Linked DNA regions of Notamacropus eugenii. The protein of the gene in region 3 interacts with the protein of the main gene of each other region in a pairwise test. Links are inferred from orthologs where the notes say so. Each region holds a gene or a part of one and is shown on either strand. Other genes may lie near its edges.

The links.
Region 1: the proteins of TOP1 (region 3) and BTBD1 interact in a two-hybrid assay, tested with the Homo sapiens proteins (2 studies listed by BioGRID). The link is inferred for Notamacropus eugenii from reciprocal best matches to the Homo sapiens genes TOP1 and BTBD1.
Region 2: the proteins of TOP1 (region 3) and BTBD2 interact in a two-hybrid assay, tested with the Homo sapiens proteins (2 studies listed by BioGRID). The link is inferred for Notamacropus eugenii from reciprocal best matches to the Homo sapiens genes TOP1 and BTBD2.

The regions. Positions count from the first base shown.
Region 1 is NC_092872.1:177,036,031-177,046,229, forward strand, and holds the start of BTBD1 (BTB/POZ domain-containing protein 1), read left to right. Parts: upstream 1-5,500; 5' UTR 5,501-5,664; coding exon 5,665-6,119; intron 6,120-10,199.
Region 2 is NC_092875.1:64,659,216-64,669,898, forward strand, and holds the start of BTBD2 (BTB/POZ domain-containing protein 2), read left to right. Parts: upstream 1-5,649; 5' UTR 5,650-5,712; coding exon 5,713-6,323; intron 6,324-10,683.
Region 3 is NC_092872.1:424,056,014-424,066,674, reverse strand, and holds the start of TOP1 (DNA topoisomerase 1), read left to right. Parts: upstream 1-5,565; 5' UTR 5,566-6,263; coding exon 6,264-6,296; intron 6,297-6,877; coding exon 6,878-6,902; intron 6,903-10,661. UniProt on the Homo sapiens protein: Releases the supercoiling and torsional tension of DNA introduced during the DNA replication and transcription by transiently cleaving and rejoining one strand of the DNA duplex.

The DNA.
Region 1 (10,199 bases), about 250 Mb from region 3:
TCTTTTACTTGCTTCTCAGTCTGCTCTAGGCCTGTGAGCATGTAGTTCCTTCTTTTCTTTAGCTTCATGACCTTAGTTTCTATTTTTAACTACAATTATTCATCCTTTCACATAGAGGGCTATCTAATAGCAGCTGAACCTCTCTGCACTCTCTGAAATATGCAAGTCCTAAGAGTTGAAAAATGTCTTTTAAATTTTCATTCAAGATCTCCTCCTTGTCATGTCAAAAGATTACCCCAAACACCTCTCTGCCCACTTGTTTCTCTCCATCATTTGAAATTTCCTGACTTTTCTCTAAATTTTCTTTGCTTAAATATCCTGTTCTGATTTGACCTCACATCTGTTCTAATTATAAAACTAGTACACAGGGTGACATATATTGTTTCTACAGGCTGGTTTCCAAATAGCATGACATGCCAACGAAGAATGTATGACAAATAAATTACATCTGGGATAATGACAGGTTTCTTTTGCTGCAACACATGATGCAAAAATTCACAAGGGGGCAAAAGGAGCCACATTTTTCAGCTAAGCATGTGGTTTTCTGGTTCAGTGTTTGCTCAAAGGACACTAGCACTTAGATCTAAAGATTAGATTACTTAGATTAGCACTTAGATCTACAGTGCTTTGTAAATCTTAAAGAATAATGTCAATGTTGTTTTGGCTATAAAATTACTTTAGTATTGATTATTATTAGCATTTTTATTTTAGATTCTTATTAGAATTTAAATAATTATTCACATAGTCTAGGGCTTCTTAAAATTGTTTGTGTCATAGACCTCTTTGGCAGTCTGGTGAAGCTTAAAGACCCTTTCTCAAAATTATGTTTTTCAATACATGAAATAAAGTACCTAAGGTTACAAAGGAAACTAATAGTATTGAAATATCTAAATATTTAGAGGAAAAAAATTCATGAATCTAGTCCAACCCCTGTTTCACAGGTAAGGAAACTGAGAGAAGTGATTTGTCCAAAATTCCATGGCTAATTGCTAGCATAGCTCAGAGCAAAACTATGGTCTCCTGACTCCAATTTCAGGGCTTTTTCTCTAGGCTGTTTCTCAAGAATTTTGTTCACGATGAGATACTAAGGGATTGTTTCCTTTTTGTCTCTTCATCTCCAGTACCTACAGTAGGTGTTTATTGAAATGTGGGAGTTTAGCAAAGGAGACAGAGAAGTTGCTAGAGAAGTAGAACCGGGAGAGTTGAAGTGCCAGGAAAGTCAAAGAAATATAGAAATCAAGGCAAAGGGAAGCACATGGATAGACTGGTTTTCTGAGAGTGGCTTGGGTTTTTTAAACAGACAATTCTACCACAAGCATTTTGAATCTAAATTGGAACAAACTATTTACTTGCATGACTGAACATACAAGTTTTATTTTCTGCCTCTTAACGTGCTTCCTCATGAAGGCCAGATCTTACTCATAGGACAGATTGACTTGATGTTATTTGAGAAGCCTGGGTGATAATAATGGCTCACACTTACATCAAACTTTGTGAACTGTTGTTTGCAGGGATAGGCAAGCTTACATCAAATGGACAGCCAGAAATATACACTGACATCCCAAGATAGTAAGAGTAAATAGAGAAGCCCCAGTGTGATGGGAAAATCTGCAAGATTTATTGGAAAACATGCATGAAGAATCTTACGGGACAAAAAGTCACAGAGGGGTGAAAGTCTGAATAAGTAGAATACATCAGGACGAAATAAAAGATTCAATTCAACAAACAATTTAGCATATACTATGTGCAAGGCACTATTAGGAGCTGGACAGAAATCTGAAAAGCAACATGGTCCTTACTGTCAATGAACTAATATTCTTAGCATGGATAATGCCTGTAGTAAAATAACCATAATTCAAAGTAGAACATAAGGAGGGAGGAAAGAGAGGGAAGAAGAAGTCTAGACCAGAGGAGTCAAACACATAGTAATGGATTAAAATATAATTGGGAAACATTTAACTAAATAAATAAAGGTAAAATAAAACATAGATAATATTACTTAAAATGAAAGACAATAGGCAGCCCACAGGAATCTTTCTGAACAGATCAGGGTTCCCCTCCCCTCATTTCTATTTGAGTTTGACTCCACTGATCTAGACAAAAAATAAGAGAAATTTGAAGGAGGGGAGAGGTCGTTTTCTGCTAGGGGGAATCAGGAAATTTCATGGAGAAGTTCATTAGCCAACAGGCATTTATGAAACATTCACTATGTGCCAGGCACCATGATAAGAGCTGGGAATTCAAAAAAAGACAAAAATCCAGTCCTTGCTCTCAAGGAGTTCACATTCTAATGGGGGGGGCGGGGAAGAAACAATATGAAAATAGCTATATATAGATATATATATGTAGAGAGAGAGAGAGAGAGTGTGTAAATAGAAGTTCATCTCTGAGGGAAGACACCAAGAGTTTGGAGGTGGGGGGAGGGATGGTATGGAACATGAGGAGGTGAAAGGCTTCCTGTAGAAAGTGGAATTTGAGCTGAGACTTGAAAGAAGCCTGGAAAGCCAGGAGGTAGAGATGAGGAAAGAAACTATTCTAGGCATGGGGATCAGCCAGTGAAAAAGTCTAAAGGAACATCAAGATGGCCAGTGTTGCTGGATGGAAGAGTGTGTGAAGGGGAGTAAAGTAGAAGACTGGAAAGGTAAGATAAGGTTCCAGGTTTAAACTGGGCAAAGCCACATAAAAGGATTACCTTCCAGGCTTGGAGGACTGCGTGGAATTGAGAAAGTTCAGGATGATGAAATGAATGAATGAGTGAATAAATGAAAAAAATAAGAATTTATTGCTTTCTAAGTCTTGTACTAAGTGCTGGGGATGTAAATATGAAAAAAAAAGGCAGTTTTTTTTTTCCTCAAGGAGTTCATGTTCTAAGCAGAGGAGACAATGGATGCAAGAATCACAGATTCAGGGAGGAGGCAAAAGTCCTAAGATTGCTCCAGCTGGTAAGATGACAGTGTGTAGGGCTTTTGAGGGTACTCAAAAGCAGGACAGATTGTAAGGTTCAGTGAACTTTAGGACAAAGTGGCAGGGTAGATGGTGGTCTTTTCATCTTCCTACAAGGATTGTAGTTGGTTACTCCCAGCTCAGTGGTATGAACATCCATGTGTTTCTTTCTACTTGGCCAATCAGCACCTTGGGGAGAGGCTTGTGGACTAGTTGACTAGAACACAGAGTTTGTGAAAAGGAATAATGTGAAACAAAGCTAGAAAGGTAGGTTAGAGACAGATTATGGAGGGTCTCAGATGATAGGCTAAATGATTTACATTTTATACTGGCAATGAGAAGCTACTGAAGGTTTTTTTTTGTTTTTTTTTGTTTGAGAATATGAGTGCCATGGTCAGATTTCTGCATTAAGAATATTATTTTGGCAGCTTTGTGAAGATTGGATTGAAACTAGGAGGGAGCAGAAGGAGAGAAAGACCAATTTGGAGGCTATTATAGTCATTCTTATAAGAAGTAATGAGGGCCTGAATTAGAATAGTGATTATGTGAATGGATATTTTTGAAATATAATTCATACATTTTGGATTACGTTTGGCAATTGATTGGATGTGAGGAGTGGGGAGAGGAAAAGTACTATCAACAGAAATAGGCAAATCGAGGGAGGGAACGGATTTTGGGGGGAATGCTGATGAGTTTTAATTTGGTGCTTGTTACTTTTTAGAGGCCAGAGTATATGTATATATGTGTGTGTGTATTCTGTAAGCTCCATTCTCCATTTTCATAATGTAAATATATGTATATATATACCCTAGATATCTATATACACATGCACATACATACATGTGTTTATATGTAGATATCTATATAGACCATAGATATCTTTATACACACACACATTTGGTAAGTTCCCTTCTCCTTTTTCAGTAGATCTATATCTATTTCCAGATATTAGCCTGATTTATAATATATACATATACATGTATGTATAATATGTATGATGTATAACATGTATGCATACACACATATATATCTCAAAAGTCATCTGTATAGAGGTAGTTGTAAGTCACCCTCTGAACAAGGGTGAGTTTATGAAGAAGAATATATATAGACAAGAAAGTTGTCAAAACTGATCATTGGGGGACACCCATATCCTGGAAGAGGGAAAAAAGTCAACCAACAAAGGAGCGAAAAGGAAGGAGACCAGGAGGTAGCAATGTCTTGGAAATCAAAGGAAAAGAGCATTAACCAAAGGGAAGTTAATTCAGTTCAACAGATTTATACCTACTGTATGCTGACGTTGGTTCTAAGAACTGCAGAAGACAGATTCTCAGTCTTCTTGGAACATACAGCAAATAGGAAGATAACCTACATATCACGGCATTTATAATACACTATCACAGTACGTACAAATGCTACATGGAGTGGTGGAGGTTTCAGGGAGAAGGTGCTTTAAAGGACAGGAAAAGATGACTGGGGAAAGAGGGATTCCAAGCACCCAGGACACAGGAACAGGATTTTGGGGGACGGGCAGAGTTTGCTGAAAAGTAATGAGTTATGGCAAGAAGGCTTTGAACTTCTAACAGTGAGGATGGTTAAGGACACTGAGAACTGATAAGAAAAGGCTAGGGGATGCAGTCAGGAAAGATCGTTGATGAGGAGGGAATGGTTTCAGCAGATCAAAGGAACAATCCGGTGTGAAGGTGCGTAAATATGATCATTCCGTTGCCTAGGAGTCTCGAGGAGGTTGAGTGACTTGCTCAAGGTCACACAGCCGAGCGTGGGGGGGGGGGGCAGTTTCTGACTCAGAATGTTCGCAGAGAGCTCTAAAAGGCCCCCGTTACAGATTCATCTTCTTCTTAGCATGAGAGGACTCCCTGCGGGGATAATCCCCGGTCACCCGGGGATGGCTTGAAGTCGGCTAGTGGTCAGCCCTCCTAATAAAGAACGGACCGCGCACGCGGCTTTGCAAGGCTGACAAAGCGCTCGCATCCTCAGCTCGGCCGAGCCTCACGCCTCAGGGAGGTGAGCACAGATGGGGGGCTCGGCCGCTCCAGCTTTGATCCTCGGAACCAGGCTCGGGCGGCAGGCAGGGGCGGCGCGGCCCGTGGGAATGGGGGCCGCTCTCTGGGGGGATGAGGCCGGGTCGGGGCCGGACACCCCCAGGGCCCATTCCTCCTGCGTCACCAGCGTGGCCGACGCAGCACGGTCCGGATCTGTTGAGGCCGGGGTGCCCACTGGCGCTCGCTTTTCCACCCGGCCTCCCAAGCGGGCTTGGGCAGGGGATACCTTCGGTGGGAGGGGCGCCTTCCGCCAGGGGGCGGGGCGACGTGCAGGGACCAGCGCGCCGCAGTTCGAGGCTTCTGCGCAGCCGCGGCTCCTGGGCAGCTTGGGGGCGCCCGCGGGCATCCCCTAGCGGTGCCTTAGGGGCGCGCGCCGCCCGGCTCCTTGCCCCTCCCCCGCCCCTCCTCCGGTCGGCCTCGGGGGCGCGTGCGTGGGCGCCCCTCCCCCCTCCCGTGGGTAGCGGCCGGAAGTAGCGCTCTCCCGGAAGGTTCGGAAGCAAACGCAACGGAACCGGCTGCGAGAGGCAGGCTCCTCGCAGCAGCGGCCTGGGCCCGGGACTGGGCCCGACCGGGCCGGAGCGGGACATGGCAGCCGGGGCCCGGACCGCCTGCTGAGCCGTCGCGCGGAGCGCAGTCCGGAGGGTTTAGCGGCGGTTAGGGCATGGCCGGAATCGGGGTCCCAGCTCCGGGGGACTCGCTCCTGGGCCCGGAGGCCGAGAAGGGCGCCGGGGCCTCCTCGCAGCCGCCTCTGGCGCCGCCGCCGCCCCCGCCGCCCCCCCCGCCGCCGCCGCTGTCGCCTCAGGGCCCGGCGGTGCCGGTGCCCCTGCAGCGGGAGCCGCTGTACAACTGGCAGGCCACCAAGGCGTCGCTCAAGGAGCGCTTCGCTTTCCTCTTCAACACGGAGCTGCTGAGCGACGTGCGCTTCGTGCTGGGCAAGGGGCGCGGGGGCGCGGGGGCCGCCGCCGCCGGGGGCCCGCAGCGCATCCCCGCCCACCGCTTCGTGCTGGCCGCCGGCAGCGCCGTCTTCGACGCGATGTTCAACGGCGGCATGGCCACCACCTCGGCCGAGATCGAGCTGCCCGACGTGGAGCCCGCCGCCTTCCTGGCGCTGCTGAGGTGAGTGGGCCCCCGGGGCCCGCCGGCCGTGGGCGGCCTTGCCCGGGGCCGGGGCTGGCGCGGGGCGGGCTGGCACGGGGCGGGCAGGGATATCCCCTGGTACCTTCCCAGAAGACCTCTGACCCTCCTTTCCCGTTGTGAGCGAGCCACGTTCGCTGTACCGAGCTGGCGAGCGAATGTGCCAACCGACGCCGGGTGGCACCTGTGCGGGCCTGTGCCTGTTGGGGCGGGCCCCCTGCCGTCAAGGTCAGACTGTTTTGTACACGGGCAGCCGCGAAACTGCTCCCAAGGTGACGCCGTCATCTCCTGTTGTCTTGTCATTTTGGAGCATCCTCGAGGACGATTTCTGATTAATCAGAGTCTAAGTTATTAAACATTATCTAACATTTATGACTGTGCCAGCCCCAAAAGAGGCAGTAGATAGCCCCTGCCTTCAAGGAGCTTACTGTCTAACGTGGGAGAGTACATACAAACAAGTATGCCAAGCGAGTTATGTAACAGTGACTCTAAGTATGAATGAACGGTAGTATTGATTTCTGTCAGACTCCTGATCCGGGTATTTTGGCATTTAGATAGGATACGGAAGCTTACTGGGGGAAGTGGAGCCCCCACTCTGTTTATTGCCAGAAAATCCTTTCCTGATTACTCTCTAAATAAATTGCATTACATCTATCGTGTTCCCCATAATTTGTGCACCATTAAATGGAAGTAAATGAGGGTGGGGAACGTTATTTCAGTTTCCAGTGCTTTGGAAAGTGACTTTCAAGATGTTTTAGGCAAAAAAATAAATATGATGCAGTTTCATTTTTTTCATTGAAATTTACAAGTTAATAGTTTGTTATAAAATTATGCGGTCAAAGCATTTGGAATCAGAGTAAATCTTATACATATTTTAGCACAGTACCCTCATTTTACTGGTGAAGTACCTGAGGCCCCAGGGAGGTAAAGTGGCCAGGTTACAGGTAACAATTAAAAAAACTGGCATTTGAACCTTTGCCCTTAGGAGGATTGGGATTTATTCTGAAAAGTATGACTTATTTTGAATTTCAGGAGAATAAAATGATACACTCTCTTATCACTGTTAGTTTGAGATGATAAGTTAGCTAGCCTTTGTTGGTGAATAAATACTTGTTGAATTGAAAAAGTTGGGCATCTTTCTTCAATAAGGTTTTCAAGATCTATAACTTAAATAGCTGCAATTTGCTTGAAATAACTTTAATTTTTAGTTATTAGGAGTATAAAACCTTTAAAATGAGTAAATTTGACTAATGTTGTAAGCATTTAATACATTACATTAACATTTAATTTGTGCTATCCCAAGTTTCAGAATCAGTGTAATTTTTCATTGACTTTTGGGGGTAAAATTTCTCTGTTTAGGTGCAATGTAAAATTTTATAGAATCATACTTTTTTTAAGAGCTTGAAGTGATAAAGATTATTTAGTCCCAAGGAAACTGAATTGGTTAATGAGTGAGAAGAAGAGGGAGAATGCATTGGAATTCCCCACCCCCACTCCCTTAATTCAAAGCATTTTCATAGTATTGGTTTTCAGTAGAAAATAGAGAGACTATTTTGTTTTAACATTTTAACTGTCATTTCCCGTAAGTATTTTTATTTTAATACACAGTATTAACTGATTAGAAGTCACCTCACATTTTACTACATTATTTTTGGCACTTTTCTTCCATTCATAACAGGTATAAAGAATTTTCCAATTTTCCCTGGGAAATATTTCCAGAAGTTTGTAGTGTCAGCTTTTGGTTGACAAAATGGGTGTGAGTTCCAATATTTTGGTGTTCTTAGTCTCTGTTTCATTACTGACTTAGCATGTTACTGTTCTACTGTTCTATTTATCTGTCCAGTTTGGTGTCAGTTTTATGAATATTTGCCCTGGTGAATTGTTTTCACATAAGTATGGTGCGGTTCTTAGTGTTGGTTTGTATGTGATTTATGGTTGCTTATCCCATATACTTGCATTTGGATATATGGGTCCTGGGTCGTATATCCGTGTCCATGTGTGTATGTATTTACTAATGTATGTATTTACTAGTACATAGTAGTGTTTCTTCTGTTGCTGGTGATGTGTCATTTACTCTATCTTGTACCGTTCTCCTGGGTTTTTCATCAAAGGATGATTTATTATGTATCTAGCAAGATCTGTTTTTGATCTATGGTTATGACTCATAGTTATTATTTGCTGATAATTTGAATCAGCTGATTCAGAGGCATTTTCTGTTCCCTCTGGTGTTGAGTGATATAGCTGGACCACTTCTGCTTGTCACAAAAGAATATTCTGGAAATTTAAAGCCAAATGTAAATTCTCTCTGCCCATAAGCTTTGCTGCAGTAGTTTTCTGTTGTGCCTCCCACTGTCTATCCCAATTTTTGTTGCATTTCTACTCTGTCCTTCTGTGTATTTAGGTTTTATTTGTGTACTCTCCTAACTAATTGCCAAATTTTTGTTAGTCTAGTTGGTTTAAAGTAGTACTTTGCAGTAGGAAAGTGATCTCCTGTTATCATTTCAGTGGGTGTTGTGTTTTCTATAGTTAGAAATGGTGCTTCTGCTCTGTCTACATCTAATCTTGATGTTGGGTTAGTTGTTCCTGTACCTTGGTTAAAACTGTGAAGTTGCTTTAGTTGGTTGGTTTCCCATGGTAAGTATCCTGGTGTTTCTAGTGTCATGTTGTCTGATCCCCATGGATTTGTTGTTTGTGTCTTTTGCTACTTGTAGTGCTGCACTTAGATCATTATTACATTGCTTTGCTTTTGGCCTTTTAGTTTCGTTTCAGTCACAGTTGTAATTGCTAATTTAGATATTTCTTGTTCTAGTTCTAATAAGTTTAAAGTGTTGTTAGGTGTTGAAAATCTGCTGAATTTAGCCATCCTCTCCATCCGTTAGCATTGGTCAGCGCTCATGGTGTTAGGATTTGTGCATGCTTGCTGTCATTTTGTATTGATCTAGGTGAGGTGAATGTTGTTGCATTGGTAGTGGTACGACTCACTATCGTACGTTTAAGTGAATCTGCCTGCCAGCATGACGTGTAATGATAACAGTCTTCCTCATGTTTCTGTTCTGTTGTGTTAAAAAGTCCCCAGTACTTACACCTATTTCCCCACTTCCCTTAACCCTCTCCCCTCCATTTCCTCCAAGTCATGTAGTAACTGCATCTTCACTTACTGCGTTAATGTTGCTTTATTGGTTCTGTTATTGCTGTGAAACTAGCTGTTGCTTAAAGTTTTCTTGCTCAGTTAACAAATATATGTCATGGTGGCTGTCTTTACCACCTGATTGGTTAGGTTTTTTTTTAATTTTAGAGTGTTCAGTTAGTAAAGTTTGTCTTTTTACCTTGTTAGGTGTTGGTGCTGTTGGAAACTGCTCTTTTTGCTTTGAACACTGTTTCCTATCCAGCCGTCTTAAGTCCACAGCTCTTTCTTTTGCTTCAGTGAATTTGTCATCTGCTGGATTGTAGATGTAAGGGTTGACTCCTTGTTCATTTAGAAGTTTGTATTGTTTGATAAGTTGTTTAGCTGCTTAATCTAATGGATTTGTTGGTCCTAGGTAGTTGTATCTATGTGGTGTGTAACCTGAAATTGAAAATAGTTGGTTAACTTCTTATTTATTGGTATTGGTTGAATATGTTGCTTTGCTTACCTTTTCTAGTTTGTGTTAGGCATCAAGCTGTTCTGAGAAGAACCACTCCCAGTAGAAATCCTGAGTCAGTGTTGGCAATGAAATCTCTGTTTCTGGTGGTTCAGGTCCTTTCAGGCTGCCCAAAGGTTGCAGCTGTAGCCTTCAGGTCCATAGCGAGAACTGCTTAGATGTCTTGCCTGGCTTTAATAGCTCTAGACATGCCTTCTCTCCAGTCCTATTTTGGCACTGCTTGTCACCATGTGATATAGTTTTTCATGATTGTTTCCAGACTGTTACTAAGTATTTGAAGATATTTGGTATTCCATTGTTATCTATTAGTCCCAAGTCACCTCCTAGACCCTTACTAAGTATTTGAAGTTAATTCGTATTTCTTTGTAATCTAGTAGTCCAAAGTCACTTCCTAGTTGTGTTGCTAGGTGTAAGTTTAATA
Region 2 (10,683 bases), on a different chromosome or scaffold from region 3:
TCATTGAAAGAACAGGGAACCCCTAGTGATGTTGGGGCAAGGGAGTGACTTGGCCAGATCTCCATGTTAGGGGCACTTTTGTCAGCTGTATGGAAAATGGATAGGGAAGATTCTGGAGAAAGGGATACCAGTTCATAGACTATTATCTTTAATTAAAGGAATAATTTAAGTCTAAATAAATGTTAGCTATTAAAAACTGCAGAGAGGTAGACTAAGGACTAAGAAAAGGTCATTTATCAGTTGAGAGGTCATTGTTAACTTTAGAGAGCACATTTTCTGTAGAGTGGGGGGGGGTTGGAAATAAAGATTGACAGGGGATGAGAAGGCAGTAAGGAAAAAGAAACAGAAAATATAAAGCAGTGGTACCAAACTGAAATAGAAATAGGTCCACTAAATTGTACATAAAGATCCTTGTTGCTGCATATTTACTCCCCTTGGGAAGCTCATGGACTAGATAAGGAGAAACGACTAATACAATATAAGACAGTAAAAGCTATTTACAATTACAAGGTGTTATTATCATTACCTATGACCATAGAGCAAGATTGCCTCCAGCATTTGGCTTGCGTATGTGGAAGCATATTAAAAACTTCCTTTGCAGTTTCTTTAGAAATATTTCTGTAGTCTAAAAACCCTTTTCCAGATGTGTCTCTTTAGGTAGTTTAACTTCAGAATAAAAGTTTTTTTTTTTTAAATTGTATTATCTTATATGAATTTATAATCTGTCCCTCTCACTGAGTGTCCCCCTTCCCCTTTTATGGGACAACAACCTCTCCCCAAACAAAACCTTCATCATATACGTTTAGTTCAGTGAAACAAATTCCCCAAGGGGCCATGCACCAAAATATATATCTCTTTCTATATTTTAAGTTCATCATCTCTCTGGGAGAAAAGGTCTTCAGTCTTCTGGACTCATAGTTTATCATGACATTAGTCAAGAGTTCTAATATCTCTCAAAGTTCTTTTCATCTATAATGTTAACATTGTATAAATTGTTCTAGTCCTCATTTCACTCTGCTCTGGTTCACAGAGGTCTTCCCAGTTTGCTCTGTAACTGTCCATTTTTGTCATTTCTTATGGTATGCGCCATCATTTGTTAAGACATTCCTTAATAGGAAGATACCCCTTTAGTTTCCAATTTTGACTTTTTATGAAGAGTTGTTATATTTTTATGCTTATGTGTCCTTTTTTTCTTTCTTTGAGCTCTTTGATTTAGTAGAGTTGAACACTAAGCAGAGTAGATTTAGTAACAGCAGAGCTGAGGCAAGGGTATTCTAAAGTAAATCATGTCATCCATAAAAATTGATAATTGTTTCTTCTATTTTGTTTATTTCTTTAATTTTTCTTGTTTTATTGCTATACTTAGTATTTCTAACACTATTTTAAATAGTGGCAGTAATAATGAACATCTTTGCTTTAACTCTGACCTTCTTTCAAGACTTCTAACTTTTTTGAATTATATCTGATGTTTATTCTTGGATTTAAATAGATACTATTTACTCTAGTAAGGAAAAGTCCATTTATCCCTATGCTTTAAAAAAACTTAGAAACGGGCTTTGGATTTTAATAATTTTTTAATAGAAATGGATGTTGGATTTTGTCAAAAGCCACAAATCTTCAGGAAATTGAGTAGAAAATGAAACTTACTTTTTTCCTTAAGATCCTTGTCTCCCCCCAACCTCTGAGGTGATTGTACTTTGGCCCATCTAAGGGCAGTTCTTCTTCATGATTATAACATTCGTCCACAAGAGAAGGCCCCTTTGATTTCTTCAGAACACTTGAGAATAGTGGTCAAAAAAGGAATGGGATAGTGACTACTGTTCTGGAATGTCAACTTCAAACTTTATTTTAACATATTATTATATTTTCCTTGTTAAAGAGTTCTGTAAAAGTTACCTCGAATTATCTAGGGGTATGGAGAGGTCAAGGGCATGAGGAGACTGCTAATTTGGATGTTTCTTTGCTCATCTAGAAATAGCTTAGATTTAGAATAATTTTAAATTGCCTAAAATGCATAGTTCAGTACTAGTATTTTTTCTTCAGCACTCAACTCCTGAAACATCCCTTTACCCTGTGGGAGATGACTTGAGAATGAGGAGACTGGGCTCAGTATTATGGAAAGAATTCTGGACCTGGGAGTAAGGGGACCTGGGTTTTATCTTGGCTTTGCCATTGACTTGCACTATGACCTTGAATAAATCAGTTTCACCCTCTAATTCTCAGTTTTCTCCTCTGTAAATATTACTGAAGAAGTCAGTCCTCGTGTTACATAAAGGCACTTCTAGCTAAGGGTTCTGTGAGCAAAGCTGTACTGCCACGAACTTATTAGAGTCAATATATTCTGAGTCTCACACTCTACCCCTCCAACTTCATCTTTTGCTCCCATCCCCTCCCTGAGCAAAGTTTCAGAGCTAGAAAGGTCTTTAGTGACCCCTCATTCCTCCCCCTTTTGGCACAGTGTCTTGCACAAAGTAGGTATTTCAATATTTGTTGAAGGCACTGAAGATGTTTAGCCTGGAGGAGAGAAGGCTTAGGTGAAGCATGATAGTTATCTTCAAGGGTTTGAAAGAATCTGACACAGAAGAAGGAAGTTGTGACCTCAAAAGACTTATGTTTGATGTGAAGCACCCCCTGTTAGAGGTAGCCAGAAGAGGAATAGCCTATCTCAGGAGGTGGAAAGCTCTCCATAATGGGCAGTTTTCAGGTAAAGGCTGAATGCAGTCCTTCACGGTCTCCATCATCCAGGTCTCATTATAGGCCTGCTCTCTTCTACTCTTTTCCCCTCAGTGATCTTATCAGCTGGTTTGGGTTTAATGCTTGTTTCTGCACTGAGGATTCCCAGGTCTATAAATCCAGACCCTTTCCCTTTCCTGAGCTGCTGTCCAGCACCACCAATTGCCTGAGACATTTCCAACAAGACCGCTAAGCATCTCCAACTCAATTTATTCAAAACAGAGGGCAGTTGGTGGTACAGTGCAGAAGTCAGGAGGACCTTAGTTCAAATTTCACCTCAGACATTTTACACTCACCAGCTATGTGACCTTGGGCAAGTCCCTTAACCCCAACTGCTTCATTCTGAGTCATCTCCAGTTAGTCTGATGAATATCTGGTCACTGGATTCAGATGACTCTGGAGGAGAAGTGAGGCTGGTGACCTGCACAGCCCTCCCTCACTCAAAACAAAGTCAAGTGCAAGTGATGTCATTATTTCTCTGATGGCACGGTGTTCTTCGGCAACAAAGGATGAACACACACACACACACACACACACACACACACACACACACACATACACCTAATCCAAAACAGAATTCCTCTTTCCCACCATATTCTCCCCTCTTCCAAACTTCCCTGAGATTATTAAGGGCCTTACTATCCTCCGAGTCATTCAGGTTTAAAACCTCAGCATCACCTTCAAGTCCTCGCTTCCACTCATTCTATATATATACAGGCAAATTATCAAATCTTATCTTCTTGATCTCTGTAGGTAGGGGAAGCTCTATCTTTCTATATAGAGGTGGCATAGTGGATAGAATATTGTTCTTAGAGTCAGAAAGACCTGAGCTCAAAACTGAGGCAGTCCTGTTAAGTAACCTGTCCAGGGTCACCCAGCAAGCATCTGAGGCCAGTTTTGAACTTAGCGTAGTGACTGACACGGTAGATATTTCATAAATACTTATTCCCTTCTCTCTTATAGCATTGATAAGCCATCCCCTTCACTCCATTCATACAACCAATCCTCCCCTTCTACTTCCTCAGTTAGAAGGGGGGTGACCTAGGGGTCTATAGATAACAGAATTTTGATTGAGTGATAGAGACGAACATGATAAACCTCAAAGGAAGAGAGGTTACTGAGTGATGGAGGGTGAATGGCATCTGGGAGCAAGGAGGATTCCAGCCCCCACATCAGCCAGAACTAGAGAGAGTAGTCGTGGAGTCCATGTCATCTGAGGGGAGCCAGATTTTGGCAAATGATGGTAGATGGAAAGAAAAGGAAAGGAAAAGATTTAAGATGAAGGGAAGTTTGTTTGTGAAATAGGTATTCCAGAGGACACTATGTTAGAGCTGGGTGACGTTTGGTTGAAACTTTGAGGTAGGAGAGTTGCAGGCAATGGGAATGAGGAATTGGGGTGGGGTAGAGGGAATAGGGTTTGGATGATGAGTTGAAGGAATTTAGAATCACTGAGATGTGAAGGGTATGACCAAATGTAAGAATGTTCATCACTGAGTGGAAGGTGCCACTCCTCTTCCCAACAGACTGGAGTCAAATGCAGTATGAGATGGAAGGTAGATGGTTGATGGGAGGTAGAGCTGAGAGCCCCTTCTCCACTACTCCTCTTCTCTCCAAAGGCTGGAGATTACGCAAAAAAAGGGCATAGCTGGAGATGAAAGTCTAACCTACACAGCAAGAAAAAGAAGTCCCATTCCCCATCCCCTTTCCACACCCTTCTCTGTGACTTTGCACTGACTTGTCTCCCATGCTGTCCCTCTCCACTTGGGCTTCTTAGAATCCCTGGCTGAAGATTTAGAGAAAACATGAAGTTTTCTCTTTTTTATGTAGCTCTTTGTGCGTCTGCAGATTACAATGTGAACTCCGTGAGGGCAGGGATTGTCTTTTGCATCTCTTTGTATCTCCAGAGCTTAGCACAAAGCCTGGTACATAGTAGGGGCTTTAAAAACCTCTAATTTCTTGATCTACAAAAGTTGAAGAAATTCTTATACGTCCACAGGTTCAGCGTGGGCTAGGCAGACTTTGGGGTCACTTTAAGAACAGTTTTTGTTGTCTGAGCTGCCTCCTTTAAAATCAACAGATTTAGATCCCCTAAAACCAAAAGATGCAAGTGAATTCACATCATATTTGCTTGTAATAATCTTATTTAAAAAATCTGCTCATTTAAAGATGCAAGTGAATCCACACACTTGTTTGTAATAATAACTTCATAATTTTTTTAAAAACCCTGTTAATTTAAAGATCCAAGTGAATTCACATCATATTTGTAATAATAATTTTCTAATTTAAAAACCTTTATTTAAAGACCCAAGTGAACTCACATAAATGAAAGAGTGTTGCTGAGATGTGGGGGGGGCATACTCCATCAATAAGAATTCCCCACTTTTCTCCGCCTTTTCCTTTCTCATTAACTTAATTAACAACCATTTCCCCCCCTCCCGCCCGCCCTGGTCCCTCGTGAACCCCCTGAACGCCCTCAAAATGTCTTTCTATTCCCTCTCGCGATCTCCTGTGACCCAGGTCTGGACTGGAAGGGTTTCGTGGACATCGCCCTGGGAGCACGTGGCTCAAGTGCGTGGGCAGAATTTAAAAGGCTAGCTTCTCGTCCAGATCCCACGGTTGTGCGGCTAGGGAAACTGAGGCACGGGGCGGGGCTCCCAGAGAGTGGAGGAAGGGCTCGGCTTCAGCGCTCCGCCGGGGGGTGGGGGAGATGCGGCTCACCTAACGGTCCCACGAGGGGCCCCGCCCCTGCCCTTGCCCCGCCCCCTGCCCCTCCCCCGCAGGGTGCGCCAGTCTCCGGCCTCGCTCCCTCCCCCGGGCCGCGCGCCCCCTCGGTCGCTCCCCCCAGCCCCGCTCGGCCTCACACCCAGGCCCCTCCCCCACCCAAGGGTCACCCCACCCCCACCCCCCCGCGGCGGCGCGCGCCCCGCACTCCCTCCCCCGGCAGCCCCCCCTCGGAGGGCGCGCGCACCCCGCGCTCCCATGCGCCGCTGCTGCCCGGCTCTATTTGTAAACACTCCGAGCGCCGCCGCCTCCGCCGCCGCCGCCGTCGTCTCCGCCGCCGCCCGCCCGCTGCCTCCGCCGTTGCCGCAGCAGCTTGCAACCAAGATGGCGGCCGGTGGGAGCGGCGGCGGCCTGTCGTCCTGCCCGCCGGGGGTGGGGAACGGCTGCAGCAACAGCAACGGCGGCGGCGGCGGCGGGCCCGGGCCGGGCCTGAGCTACAATAACTGCGCCGTGGCGGCGGCCGCGGCCTCGGCCCCCGGAAACCCGGCGGCCGCCTCCGCCGCCGCGGCCTCCTCCGCCTCCGCCGGGCCCGGGGCCGCCTCCGCCCAGGCCGCGGGGAGCGGCGGCGGCGGCGGGGCCGGCTCGGCTGTGGCGGCGGCCCCCGGCCCGGGCCCGGCCCCCGCGGCGGCCCCGCCCGGGGCAGTGGGGGCGGCGGGGCTGGTGCTGCACCGCGAGCCCGTCTACAACTGGCAGGCCACCAAGCCCACGGTGAAGGAGCGCTTCGCCTTCCTCTTCAATAACGAGGTGCTCAGCGACGTGCACTTCCTGGTGGGCAAGGGCATGAGCTCGCAGCGCATCCCCGCGCACAGGTGAGACCCCCGGGCGGGAGGGCGCCCCGGGCGGGGGGCCGATGGGCCCCGAGGACGGGCATGGGCCCCTCCTGAATCTCCCCCCAGGATGGGCACGGGCCCCTCCCGAACCTCACTCCTCCAGGATGGGCATGGGCCCCTCCCGAACCTCCCCCCAGGATGGGCACGGGCCCCTCCCGAACCTCACTCCTCCAGGATGGGCACGGGCCCCTCCCGAGCCTCCCCCCCAGTATGGGCACGGACCCCTCCCGAGCCTCCCCCCAGGATGGGCACGGGCCCCTCCCGAACCTCACTCCTCCAGGATGGGCATGGGCCCCTCTCGAACCTCCCCCCAGGATGGGCACGGACCCCTCCCGAGCCTCCCCCCAGGATGGGCACGGACCCCTCCCGAGCCTCCCCCCAAGATGGGCACGGACCCCTCCCGAACCTCCCCCCAAGATGGGCACGGGCCCCTCCCGAGCCTCCCCCCAAGATGGGCACGGCCCCCCCAACCTTCCCCCAAGATGGGCACGGGCCCCTCCCGAGCCTCCCCCCAGGATGGGCACGGGCCCCTCCCGAGCCTCCCCCCAAGATGGGCACGGCCCCCCCAACCTTCCCCCCCAGTATGGGCACGGCCACCCCTAGCCTTCCCTCCTCCAGGATGGGCATGGGCTCCTCCCGAATCTCCCCTCCAAGGATGGGCACGGCCCCTTCTGAACCCCTCCCCCAATGTGGGTAGGCCCCCTTCTGAATCCCTTTTCCCATTGTACCCCAATCCCTCTGAGAAGAAAGCCGGGCAGCCCCGGGAGTGCCGGCAGCGCTCCCCCAGATTGGCTGAGGATGGGGATAGCCTCCATCCAAACCCTCCACCCCCATTCGGGGAGGATGAGGATAACCCCCATCCAACACTCGCCCTCCCCCCATTTTTCCCCCAGCCTCTTTGAAAAGAAAGATCTGGGCAGCCCTGGACAGCCAAAGAGGGTACCCGCAGACTGGGGGAGGGTGGGGATGGCTTCCATCTTTCCCCCCACTTGTGCCTTCAGCCCCTTTGAAAAAAAATGGGCTGGGCGGCCTTGGAGAATCAAGGAGGACTTCCTTAGACAGGAGGTGTATTGAGATGATCCCCATCTGAAACTCCTCGCTCTATTCTATCCTTCCACCCCAGTCCCAGCTCCCCTGACAGAAAAAAAGGTAGGCAGCTCCTCAGAGCAGCACCACCCCAAGATAAGAGAATGGTGATGGCCACTCATCGGAAACCCCCCAGCTCCTATGAAAGGAGAAAGCTAGAGTCCCCAGAGAGCCACAGAGGTATGGCCAGTTAGGACGGTAACGAAGAAGTCCTCTTATCAGAACACCTCCCCCACCCACCCCCAGAGCTTCCCCACCCTAACCACCCTGCAGGGAAAAAGCCAGGCAGTCCTCCAAGAGCAACCAAGGGAGCTTCCAGGATGAGGGCAATGATGATGTCTGTTCGTTAGGAGCTCCCAGCTACTGTACTCTTTCCCCTCCCCCCCCAAACCCAATGTTCCCCTGCAGGGAAAAAGCTGGGCAGGGCAGTCCTGAGAGAGCCACAGAGGGAGCCTCCAGTGATGAGCATGATGATGATGATGGCCCCTCCTCTGAAACTCCCCCACTGTGGTACCCCTCACCACAACCCTGCAGGGAAAAAGGGGCAGTCCTCAGACAGCTCCAGAGGCAGCCCCCCTCCCTGGCACTATTCCTAGCCCTCCTGTTGCCCTTTCCTCTCTTCAGGCTCACAAACCAGGCCCCTCCCCGATGATTGCCCTTTGCCACTTTCTGCAGATAAACCTCTCTGTGGTCCTTGATCATAGATCTCTTTCTTCCCTTTAGATCAAACCCTCTATACTCCCCTTCCCCAGGTACCTCTGGTTCCCTTTTACAGATCTGTTATTCTCAGTTGCTCCTGAACTCCCTTCCTCTGATTTCCATTTTCCCTGATTTCTTAACGCCCCCCTCCAACCTAGCCCTTTCTTAGAATATACCTTCCTATTTTAAGGGTGTCAGCTTCTAAATCCTCCCCTTTCCCATTGTCCTCCCTTGCCCTGTTCTTCACGTGTGGGTCCCTTTCCCCCCCCACTGACTTCAGAGCAGGTCTGTCATGCCCTCCTAGGGGGAAAGTTGTGTCTTTGTCTCTGAGGCTCCCAGTTTACCCACAGGGTTCCTACCTTCTCTTTTCTTATTGCCCCCTTGTAGAATTGGGATGCTTTCTGTTAGTCCTGGTTTCTCCCTTAACACCCACCCCCCGCCTCCCAGTTATTTCTCCTCTCTGGACTTCAGTTTTTCTGTTTGTAAACTGATTGCGTTAGACCAAATGCTCTCTAAAGGGCCCTGTGATTTGATTTTACCTTGAACCCTTAATTCCTAAACAACCTCTCAAAAAGAACAAAGGAAACAGTGGGCAAATTCTAGCTTCCCTCCTTTAACTCCCTTCTCTTCCCTTACCCACTAATGTTTCCACATCAGTTTCCTCTCTTCCAACTACATCTACCCTTTAGGTAGGTAGATAGTAAATATCTCTTGGTTATTTGGTTATTGTATAGGATAGTAGATATTTAAGACAGCTTCCCTGTCATTCCTACCGTCTTGTAATTACAGTCCTTACTGTACACACCTGCATTTAAAACGTCTTGAAGGCAGAGACTATACCATACTACTTTTGTATGGTGTCAAGCATGAATACTCAGTTGAACTGCAAACACTTTACCTTTTCTGGAAGGCGTTTCTTGGCCATCTGCCCCCTAGCAATGGGTCCCCCCTCTGAAATTTATGCTATTCATTTGAGACTCACAATTTATTCCTTTGTGTAATTATTTTCATATAAGACAGTCTCTTACCCCAATCAGATTGTATAAGGTCAGTGGCCCATGAAAATGGCAACTAGCACAGTCTCTTGTGTAATAACTTGGATTAGGGCAGGAAGGAAAAAGACATTGTAAAATTACTGACTTTGTTCTAGGCACTGTACTAAGGACTTTACAGATAATATCTCATTGGATCTGAATTTGGAGTCAGAAGACTCAAGCTTAAATTAGTACTTGGTACTTAATAGCTGTGTGACTTTGGGCAAATCATTTGATTACTGAAATGAGGAGAAGGGTGACGTAATTAAACAAACACCTTCTATTTACTAAGCTTGGGATGGATAGGGAAGACTTTTAGAGGTGAGACATTTTTAGTTCAATAGATTTCATAAATTCATAAATGTTTGGCACCTTGGAGAATATACAAAGAAATTTGTGGCATCCCTGGCCCCTGCCCCTCAGGGTTTACATGTAACCAGTGAGGCCTGAAGGGGAAGAAGTCAGAAATATTATGGCTTAGTAGGGAAAAAAGAAGGCATTAAGCAGTAGAAAATGAACCTTGTGTGTACAGGTCCCTTTCAGCTTAAATCCTGTGATCAATTAATATTGCCTGATTGGTATATTTGCAATTTAATAGTCTTTAGTTCTCCCCTCAGAAGATTGCTGTGCCCTCCCTGACCAACCATGCACAGCTAGAACTTTCTGTTGTGCTTTCAACTCAAGTACTCCTTTTCCCCTTTACCTGTGTACCTTTCTGTAGCCTTCTTGCCTTCTGCCAAATGGTTTTTATCTCCTTGGGGATCATTGTACAGGTATGTTTGTATGTTGGACTTTAAGCCAGATTCTTTCTTGTCATTCCTGATAAGCAATATTTTATTATTTCTTGAAATTATGCACCTTCTTTTGGGCCTCAGATACCTTTCTGTTTGTGTGTTAATAGACAAAGGACTTTCAGGAGTGAGGCCTCATGCACAGCTTAATGGGAAGAGATCTGGATTTAGAGACAGAAGGAGAACAAGCCAGCTCCTTGATCCTCATGAGGCAGGTGTGGCCTCCAGAGACCCCAGTCCCCAAATTGGTACTTTTTCTGCTACATGATGCTGCCTCTTCTTCCCCAGGACTCTAGAGGTGTGGTTATCTTGAACTGAGATTTCTACAACTTCATCCATAGATCCAGTATAGAGTAGCAGATGGGCCTTTGAAATGGAATTTTTATCCATTAACCTGGTTATTTTTTCAAGAAAGGGGTTGATGGTGTCAATGAAGTTGAGAAGGCAAATTGTAACTGTTAATGATAATGGAGGCCAATTAAACCCTCCTGTGTTTGAAACCAAGGCTTCCTCAAGGGGGAATCTTACAGGATGGAAGCCTGGAGAAGCTTCACATCGATTACTTTCTGAGTTGGAGGGGATAGGGTGAGGTGTTCAGAGTGGAATGTGAAGTTGCCAGCAATGTACCAGGAGTACAGTATAGCTATTCAAAGTGCAGGAGATCTGTGTTAATAACTGCCAAAAAGCAAAGTATGATAACTATAGGTTGTGGATGCACAGGGCCAAGAA
Region 3 (10,661 bases):
CAAACATTTTTTTAAATTGAATCCAACAATCAATTGAATGCAAAGAAGTCGTGTTCTCCCTTTTGAATGGAAGCCAGTATGTGACAGACTGTCTTAAGCTATCTTAGAATTAGGAAAGAAGATTTTCTGAGGGTTGAGATTTAAGAGGTTGGAGCAGGCTTAGAGGAAAAGGGGTTCTGTGTTCTGGCAGATAAGAGAGATATTAAGCAGAAGAGAAGCAGAAAAGAGAAGCCAAGCTGATGGAAGGCCCAAGAAAAGTTTTTCTCTTTGTGCAACTTTCCTTCCCAGTGCTGGTCTATCCCCCCACACTATAATTCAATCTACCATCTCTTTACCCAAATACCTCCAATAATCTGAATTTTGCTTCAACTACAAAGAAGCCATCTATTACCTAGAGATACTTATAAGTTTAGTATATTTTTTAGGTTTAGCAGAGAACTCAACTTCTGCCTAGATTTTAGCAATCTTTCCTAATTGGGGAGCACCAAGGTATTGTGACTGAGCTCAGAACTTTTTATCTTAAAAAACCTCTCTGAAGTCAGGAGAAATGAATGGACCAATTATAGCTCTCTCAGCTCTAAATGAGCTAATTATCATAACAGGTATTAAAACTATACTACTTGAATGACTGGAAAAGTCAGCGGATCATGTAATGAGAGATGACAGAGGGACAGCTCAAATCCAGCACTGGTCAGTGTTCTGCTATGTATATGGAAATGATCCATTTTAGAGAGTGCTTAAATTTTCTAGAATTTTAAAAAATTAAAAATAAAATAGCTAGAAGAAGACCTCTCTCAGGTTGGGTAGGTCCCCTATAGAAGGTTTAAGGGAGGATTTGGACAAGAGTCACAGGAGGTGAGAATATGTAGCAGGGCTTCAAGCCATATCATTTTAGAGGGAGTTCATTTTAATAAGCATTTATTATATATAAATTATATTATTTACATATGTATAATTTATATTATATATTTTAATAAATATATTTATATGTAATATAAATATATATTTACTTATAATATAAATATATTTATATTATATATAAATTATGTACCAGGTATTAGGTGCTAAGGATACAAAGGCAAAACATAAGACAGTCTCTGTTCTCAAGGAGTTTACATTCTATCAGGACAAATAATATGCAGCCCTATAAAGAAATTCAAAGCTCAAAGTTAATACAAGGTAATTTGAGGAGCGGGAGCTGGAGCTGGATGGAAATGCACTAACAGCTGAAGGGGTCAGGGAAGACCTCCTCTACAGAGCTGGTGCTTAGCTGAGCTTTGACAGAAGCTAGGGATTCTAAGAGGCATCAATGAGGAAGGAATATATACCAGACATGGTGACGGTCAATGCAAGATGGAAAATGGGAGATATAATGTCACGAAGGAGGAAATCGGTTTGGCTGACCCATTAATTGTATGAAAGGGAATAATGTACAATAAGCCTGGAAAGGTAAGCAGGAGTCATATTATAAAGCGCATTAAATGCTTAACAACAGAAAAATTTGTATTCATATGTTTTGAAACACCAGAGAGCCATTTGAGATTTTTGAGCAAAGGAGTTTGGTGATTACGCAGTATGATTACAAATACATTGAAGTACAACCTAATAACAAAAAGTGGTTGTGAGGAAAGCGTTTTGTAAACCTTGAAGGGCCAGGACTACTAATTGGACCTAGGGTTTCATTCGAATAGAGAGTTTCTGTATTGGAAATGCAGGCTCCCTATCTGTAACCTATAGCCTTGTCTAGCATCATCCAGTCAGCGTATGTCAGAAGGAAAACCTTGAATTGATATAGAAATGTGCGTTGGTATTAATAGCATTGTAGTGGAAAATGGGATACCAAAGGAAGGGTATAGCACAGAACCTGAGATAAGAATAAGGTGGAAATGATAGTATATTAGCTCTTCTCAGCAAAACAAGGAGCTAAGACAATTCCAAAAGCCTCGCAATGGAAAATGCTATCCACATCCAGAAAAGAATTTTGGAGTCTGAACACAGATGGAAGCATGCTATTTGCTCTCCTTTTCTTTTGTCGTTTTATTTTGTTTCTTCTTTCTCCTGGTTCCTTCCATTAGTTCTAATTTTTCTTTACATCATGACTAAAGTGAAAATATGTTTAATATTAATGTATAAGTAGAGCCTATTTCAGATAGCCCGCCATCTTGAGGAGGGGGGAGAAGAGGGAAGGGGAGAAAATTTAAAACCTAAAATCTTATGGAAGTGAATGTTGAAAACTAAAAATAAATAAATTATTAAAAAGAAAAGACAATATAGTGCAAAGTGCACTGAATTGGAAGTCAAAAGACGTGGCTCTGGCTCTCTATAGCTGTGAAGTGCACACAAACATGAGTTGCTTCCCCTTTGTAAGCCTCAGTTTTTTCATCTGTAAAAAGAGGGGAAAATGGACTAGGAGATACATAAGGAAACTTCCAAGTCTAATATTTTGTGAATCAAAGAAGGGAGTTTGAAGCCAGAAAAAATAGTCATTATAATCTCTCAAATATGATATAAAATGTAACAAGTAGAAACTTACAATATTACTACTGGGAGAGGAAAAAACCAAAGACAAAAAAAACCCTCTTATGCAGGGCTCTAAAGAAGAGGAGAATTTGAGTTTGTAGTTCACAAAAAATCTAACATCAGCCTTTTTCAGTTACAAAATCTATTTTCAACCATGCTCTTGTTGGAATCTTACAATAAGGAAGCAGAATGTTGCTACAATAAATCCATGGCTTTGGTAGGTCTATGATTATTAATTCCATTTTACAGATGAAGAAGCTAAGTCTCAGAAAGGTAAACTGATTTGCCCTATGTCACACAGCTAATTAGCAAGGTTGGTACTAGAACCCTTTTCTTCTGGCTCCTGTTCCAATATACTTTCCATTCCACCAGGCTGCCAGCCAGCATCACTGCTATCCCTGAGGGGAAATGAGATGTGATTGAGTGTGGAAATATTTTAATTGTAAATACATATTTACAATTCTTCCTTAATCTACTAAGCAAGTAAAAAAATATTAGTTTTCTGCCCTGTGGATATAGTAATACATGAAGAGATTTAGCAAAAGAGACCCCATCCATATTCATTCATTCATTTCAGCAAACATTTATTAAGCACTTCTGTGTAGAACACTGAGTTAGGTGCTGGGGTGGGGGAAGGAGAGGAGAGACAAAATCCAGAGAAGACAAGGTAATTGCCTTCATATAGTTTAGAATTCTGGTAAGGGGTTAAGATACAAATTCATACATGTAATAAACTATGATTCATAATGAGAATATTAGAGAGGTAAAAATAAAGTATTATATGAGGTCTGAGAAAGATAGTAATTTACTGATCAGGGACTCAGGAAAACCTTCCCGGAGAAGGTTGAATTTGAGTTGGTGTTTAAAGGATGAACAGGAGTTCAATAGTGCGAGAGGACAGTCCAGGGATATCAAATAATGTGAGGAAAGGCACATAGGCTGGAAGGTACCCTCTGTACTCAGCATTTTCCTATTCCTGGGTCAGCTCACTAGCCTCACCAATAGCCTTGCCTCCTGAGGTCATGCCCCATGTAATTTCAATTACAGATCTACTGCCTTGGGGCACTCTTGTCCCTACTGGCAACTACTTTCACCAGCCCACTGTAACTGGCTACTAGGTCATGCCTCATAAGTATGATCTCCCCCACTTACTTTCCTCTCCAGTTCTGCAACCATGATCAAATCAACTCTACCTTTGTTCCTGGAAGGAGTATGTCAGGCTATTTCTCTACAGACCTACTCACTATCCCTGTAACTTTCTGGGTCAAAGTTCTCTTCTAGCCACTTGCCCCCTATATGTGTTGTCTTCCCTTATTGGAAATGTAAGCTCCATGAGGTTAGGGGTTGTCTTTCCTTTCGAATTTGTATCCCCAGAGTTTAGCACATAGTAAACTCAACAAATGCTTTTTCATTCCTTAGTTCATTCATTCCTTCTTCAGTGGCCCCCTGGGCTCAATATTGCCATGGTCAAAGCTCAGCCTGCTTTCAGATTTGGCTTTTCCTTGTTAAGGTTGGATATTTGCCAATTCTTGTTCAAATACTGTCATTTTGCCCTTTCAGGTCTGTGGAACACTCACTGAAATAGGAAAATACTTACATAGAAAGAAATCCAATTAAAACAGGCTCTTGCCATTTGTAAAAAAACAAAAAAAACCACAAACAAAAAAGCATTTATTTTGACAATAATCAATTGAAAAACGAATCTGGTGACCATCAGAACATTTATCACCCTACTTCATATTATAGCTTTTAAAAAACGGTTGACAGTCTATCTTTTACATTACCGTAGCTTCCTTCAGTATCTCTCCCTCTCCCCCTTTCCAGACAGCTATCCCATATAACAAACAGTACTCTTAAATACGATTTACACTTTAATACTATTTAAAAATGGGCAGCTAGATGGCACAGTGGATAGAATACCGGCCTGGAGTCGGGAAGTATCTTCCTGAGTTCCAATCTGGCCTCAGACAATGAGTAGCTGGGTTATCCTGGACAAGTAACTTAACCCTGTTTGTCCCAGTTCTTCATGTATAAAATCTTTACCAAGAAAACCTCAGCTGGGGCCATAAGGAGTCGGACACGGCTGAAATGACTCAGCAGCCATAGAGGGCTTCTGCCTTCCTACCTCCCAGTCCTGGAGATATTTCTACTAGAAAGTGGGCAATTTCGTTGATTTTTCCCCCCATTACTATAGCTTCCCAATACTCCTTTTCTCTCTCCCCCCACACTTGGAATACAACCTCCACTGTAACAAAGCATAGTGAAACAAAATACATACGCCGCCCGACTACACACATTCCTCCATTCCTCGTTCTGAACCTACCATCCATTACTTTTCTACTGAAAAGAGGCGTCTGTGTGTTTAAGCAGTTAAGTCCTTACAAAGGCTGGGCATCCTATTACTACTGTATAGGTTGGCCAAGGTCACCAGGCCACGTGTGGGCATCTCCCTTTCCCCTGCCACTCTTCTAGACAGAGGGGAAACAAATCAATGAGCAACGAACTGATGGGGTACCGAGGACCCCAGGAGCTGAAAGCTGGAGAGCTCCTGCCTAAACTGACGCCGTGAAGCTGCCTTCCTAACATTTTTAGGGGCTAGGCAGTGCAGAAGGGGAGACCTGCGCCTGGAGTCCCAGCTTTGACCAGCGGCGGGCTATGTGACCTTGGACAAGTCCGCGGTCGAGCCTGGATTTTCTCATCTGTAAAATAAGAGATCTGGACTGTGCTTCCTTCCAGTCCCACGGGGATGCCCAGGCAGTGAGTACCGGGGATGACAGGATGATGTGGAAGGGGCTTTAGAGAGCCCGAGCCCAAACCTCTCATTTTACAGCAGAGGATGCTTAACGAGGGAGGGTATCACTGCCCGGACTCGGGTATCGGGTGGGTGTTAGGAGTCAACTGCAAATTTAACGCTTAAAATTCAGGCCGGCTCAAAAGCTCCACCACTGGTGCCTACGGTTGCTTAAGGCTGCCCGTCTTTAAAACCCAACCACGTTGCCGGCGCCCAGCAACTCCAGAGGCCCCAGAGTGGCCAGAGGCGCCTGCGCAGTGCGCGGAGCCGGGGGTTGCGAACGCCGTGAGGAACCCCTTCAATTCCTAGCCCTATACTGCCGGCGGGCTCCAGTTCCGAGAACAGGGTTGGGGAGGTGGGGGAGGAGGGCTGGAGAAGGAGACGAGCCAGGACACTGGGTGAGCGGGAGAAGGAGGAGTTCCTTATGCAAATGAAGCTCCGCGCTGGGTGGGGTGGTTGGGGCTGTCTCAACGTGGGGCGTGGCTTGAGATGCAAATCAGAGCCAGCCACTTGAGTAGCGAGAGGCGGGTTCTCTTAGAGCCAAGCCAGTTTCCCTAAAGGCTGCTGGTTTTCTTCTTCTTCCTCCCTCCTACCGCGCTCCCCCCTCCCTTCCTGTTTCACCACCTCCCCCCCTCCCTCTCGCCGGGTCCTGTTTAAAAGCGGCCGCGCAGGCGCAGTGGGAAGAAATGCGAACTTAGTCTGTTACACAACTCCTCGGAGCTTCATTCCCTCCCCAGTGTCTGCTGCCGCTGCTGCCGCCGCTGCCGCCGACGCCGACGCCGCCATTCCCGCTGCTGTCGCTGATTCCTCGGCCTCACACTCCCGCCGCTGCCGCCGCCGTCGCCTTTGCTCCGGGGCCTGATCTCTTTGCCCAAGGCCGGGGTCCGAGCGGTCTGTGCCTCCTCTCCCCCGCCCCCTTCCCACTCCCGCCGGTGCCGCGGCTACGTCCGACATGAGCGGGGATCAACTGCACAACGACTCCCAGGTAAGCCGGCCTTCGGATCTCCCCGATCCCCAGGCCCGGCTGCACTCCGATGCCCCGAATCCCCAGGCCCTGCTGCCCCGGCTCCTCCGCCCCCGCCCCGGGGCCCGACTTCCTGGCGCCCCCGGGCCCGGCTCCTCTTAGAGCCGGCTTCCCACTTCCCCCTTCCCCCAGAGCCGGGCCTGCCTCCCCCGGACTCTGTCTCTCCGCTTGTCCTCCCCTTCCATCTTTGACGTTTGGCAGCCGAGGAGATGACAGGTTCCCCCCCCTCCACCCCGGGATGTGGAGGGTCTGAGGAGTGTGTGTTAGGGGGGAGGGGGTTCTGGCTTTGGGGGATCCGCGCTGGCAGGAGCAGGAGGGGGGGCGCCCTGGAGGCGGCGGGCTGGAAATGCCGGGAAGTTAAAGTTTGAAAGGGCGAGCCCCCTCCCCACCCTGCCCGGCTTTCCGCTCCCCCCTGGGGGGGGGGGTCCAAGCCCCTTGTGCTCCCCTCCCCCGCCAGAGTCTCGTCCCTCTACCCCCCCCCCCCCGACCCCGTGTGTCTTATTTATTGGTGGCTTGATTTCCTCTCCTTTCCCTCCCCACAGATCGATGCGGATTTCCGAGTGAATGGTGAGTGTGCGCCCCGGGCCCGAGCCGGGCCCCCTGCCCCGGGGGGTGGGGAGAGGCCCGCCCGCGCCGCCCGGCTCTCCCCGGCTGCGGATGGGAAAGGACAGACATGGCGTCCCAGAGACTAAGTCCCGGCTCCTCGCTCACCGGCCCCATTGTTCCCATCGAGCCGCCCCTACCGCCCCTTTGCGGGGCTCTGGCCCCCCGGGGACCCCGGCCCGCCCTAGAGGGGGCCGCCCAGGCCCCCGATCCCCGCCGAGCCGGCGCCTGGGAGCCTTTCCGGGCCCGGATTCCCCCCTGGAAAGTCGCCTTGTCGACAGTCAGGACTTAGTCTCTGCGCCATTTTCTTTTTCTCTCTCCTCTTCTTTCTGTGTCTGTGTCTCTTTCTCTCCCTCCCTCGGCTCCTTCCTAGAGCTGCCCAGGAGGAGCTTTCTGCAGAGAAAAGCCCTATAAATCACTGTCCTTACCAGAAAGGAGACAGAGGGGGGAGAGTTTGATTTTTTTTCTTCCTTTCTTTTTTTAAGAAGCTTAGATTATTTTTGTTCATTCTCCTTCTGCATCTGGTTTCTTTCTATTCCACCCTCTAAAATGAAAGGTCAGTTTTGCAACTGTTGCTTTGTCTTTTCTATAAGATCTATATTACCTTTTTACCTTGCATAGAGATGTGATCATAAATCTAAAACTAAATACATCATCTGTGGAGCATCATTTTTTGAGAGCTCTGAACAAAGAGGGAGAAGAAAACGTGTTCTAATAATATAGCCCCCTTCCAAAAAGTTTGTAAGTTGCTTGCCCTGGGAATTGGGATAAGCAAGCTTAGAAATTGTTTTATTCTAGTAACTACTTACAGACAATTAGCACGTGTGGGTAGAGCTTGTCTTTGTGGATTAAGGCACCTAGAAAGACTTGCTTTGAAAAGTATTTTAAAGTCCAGCCTCAAAATGATGAGAGGTGCTCCAGGACCTGTCTAGAATTGTGGGAGAGAGAAAGAGGATTTTGGTTGTCTGTTGGCAGATGTGGCAAATACTTTTGCCTCAGCCTTAAGCATTTGTAGGCCTGTTTATCCATTTCTTTTTCTTTGGGACTAAATAAGAACCACAGACTTTCAGGAGCTGAGGGCTATCTTGCTTTCTCTTTACGTTAGTTGCTTTCTAACCCTTTTCTAAAAAGTTAATGCATTAGTGTATTCGTTCTACCAGTTCCATGTACGAGGGAATTTTCCCTTTCCAATAAAAAAATGGTTCATTTTTGCATGCTTTATAAAGAGGAAAGTCAAATGGTGAAAGATGTGCACTATATAGCGTTTTGTCAGTTTCCATTGATTAGCCTTGGCACTATACCTGTCTTCAATAAGTATAAAATCCTGCTCAGTTTAGCCAGGGTTTAGCCACTTCAGTGGTAAAAGACTACTGCTGAGTTTTTGGATCTTGCACTAAGTAGTCCATCATGTTGGCCTGCTTAGTTTGAAACAGTCTTATGCAGCAGTGAAATGGGGCATTGAGTAGAAGACTGTTCCCTACTGGGAGAGAATTATAAGAGAACTAAGAATTTCCTTACTGTCCATTTAAGCCAGACCTTTAAGGGCTAAAGGGAAGAGCAGTCTGAAAAGGGAGACTAGCTTCACAGAAAACAATAACCAAAAGCAAAATTTTAAGTTGTCCCTTTTTTAATTTTTAATTGGGGTGTGATAATAGAGAAATCTGGATGGGAACAGGACTTATGGAAATTCTCATCTTTCTCCTCTTTTGGAATCCTTAAGGTTCTTCTAGTGTAGAGAAAAGTCCTTAGGGCTAAGAAGTTAGGGGAGTAAGCATGTATCTGGTATTTAGAACAAAGTTTTCAGAATAGTTTAAGGCTCCTTCTCCCACCAATATTTAAGTAGCTCCAAAGATTATACCTAGACTGCACTTGGGAAATGGTCTGTTTTTCTGAGGTAAATTGTGGGCTGCATATGGTGATTGTACTCCTAGCAATTTCTAATTCAAGTCTGCATAGTCTTTGCTACTATGATTGCAAAGGCCAGGCTCTATCTCACTGTAAACAGATTTTGTTCATGAAGACGACATATACATTTAGTTGCTCTGTCAAGAGTGATAAGAATACTTGAAGAGGTTTAGAAAAGGGTGCAGGGGAAGACTTGGTGACGTCACATTTTTGTGTGTTTCCTCATGTCTGCTTCTTCTCTAGTAGAGGATCCTTTTTGGTTTTGGTTCCCAAATTCACCCGAATTCCAAGCCTTCAATTTAGGATATGTTCTCTTTGCCAGCATAGTCCAAAGGAAGGACAGTAGCGTTAGCAACCTGCTTCTGTGTTACCTAGGTAGCTAGGAGAGTTATCTGACCACCTGTGAGAGTTCTACACTACATTGTTTTTTTTCCTAAGGGAAACATCAAAGTCCAATTACATGAACGTAATTGTTTTAATCCTGGTCTTTGAATTAAACAAGTTTGTTTAAGTTGATCTTTATTAGAAGTGGACTTAGCCCTATTTACAAATTAGGCAGTGCAAGTTTATACATATAACTTGGATTACCCCCTTCCTTTCCCCTCTTCACCTTATCAGGTATAAAAATAGATTCCATCCCATCATAAACTGCTTGTATTTTAGGTTTGTTGTTATGGTTCATGTTGATTTTGGAACTCACATATTTTATTCTCTGGCCTATTTTTGCTTAGAAAAGAATCTGTTAGTTATGGAAAGCACTATTGTTCTTTTATGAAGTTTACTGTAAAATAAGACTTCAGGTGCTTAAGGTATTAGAACGTCTTTCCGGTACTCTCTCCTACCTACCTAGACTTCCTAAAAGCTGGGGAAGCGTCTACATATTGACCATTGTATTCTTTTTGTCAAAATGGGTGTGATGGACATGTTGAGCTGAATAGTTGCTGACCACCAGGGGACCTAGAAGTGTCACACTACTCCACCCCCACCCTCCAGCTGATCACTGATATTTAGATTCGCTGTCATATAGCAAAGTAAAATATTTTGACATCATATTTATTGTAGGTAATGCTATTTATTCATGATTGGACATCCTGTGGTGTTGATCCCAGGTAGCTTAATAGATTAGATTTGGATGGAATGAATTAAATACAAATTGTACTTGATGCCAATAGTTACTTTTATTTCTGTGCTAATGGCGGATAGGCTGCTGGGTACAGCCTTCTGCTCTGTGAGTCCACTTTTCCCCTAGTTTCTAAATTCTTTTTCCATGTTTTTAAGGTAAGGTGGGACCTGGCATTTGCATCTCCTTAGGCTGTAGTTCTTAGTGTGTTCTGGGAACCCCTAGTGATTCCTGAGATGTTTTCAATGGGTCTGTGAGGTCAAAACTATTTTCATAATAATACTAAGATGTTTCAATTTTAAATATGGTGAATATTGATAGATACAGCTCACATGAACAAAAGCTCTTTGCAGAGAGGTCTTCAGTTTTTAAGAATGTAAAGAGGGCCTGAGAGTAAAAAGTTTGAGAACCGCTATTAGGTTTCACGTAACAGTGTCATTTCCATTTCTACTCCCAGAAGACTTCTGTTGGTCCTTTAGGTACTGGGAAGTTGTTAGGAGTCTGCACGCTCTACTTTAAAGAAAGATGCTTTTCTGAATCTCCAGTCTTTCAGCTCTCAGAAGTTCAGACCTGTCTTGGATTTGATGATAATAATATAACAATAAATAATAACTGCTGACATTTAGATATCATTGTGAAGTATGTAGGTCGTCTTATTTGACTCATCCAGTAGCCCTTTTGAGGTAGGTGCTATTATT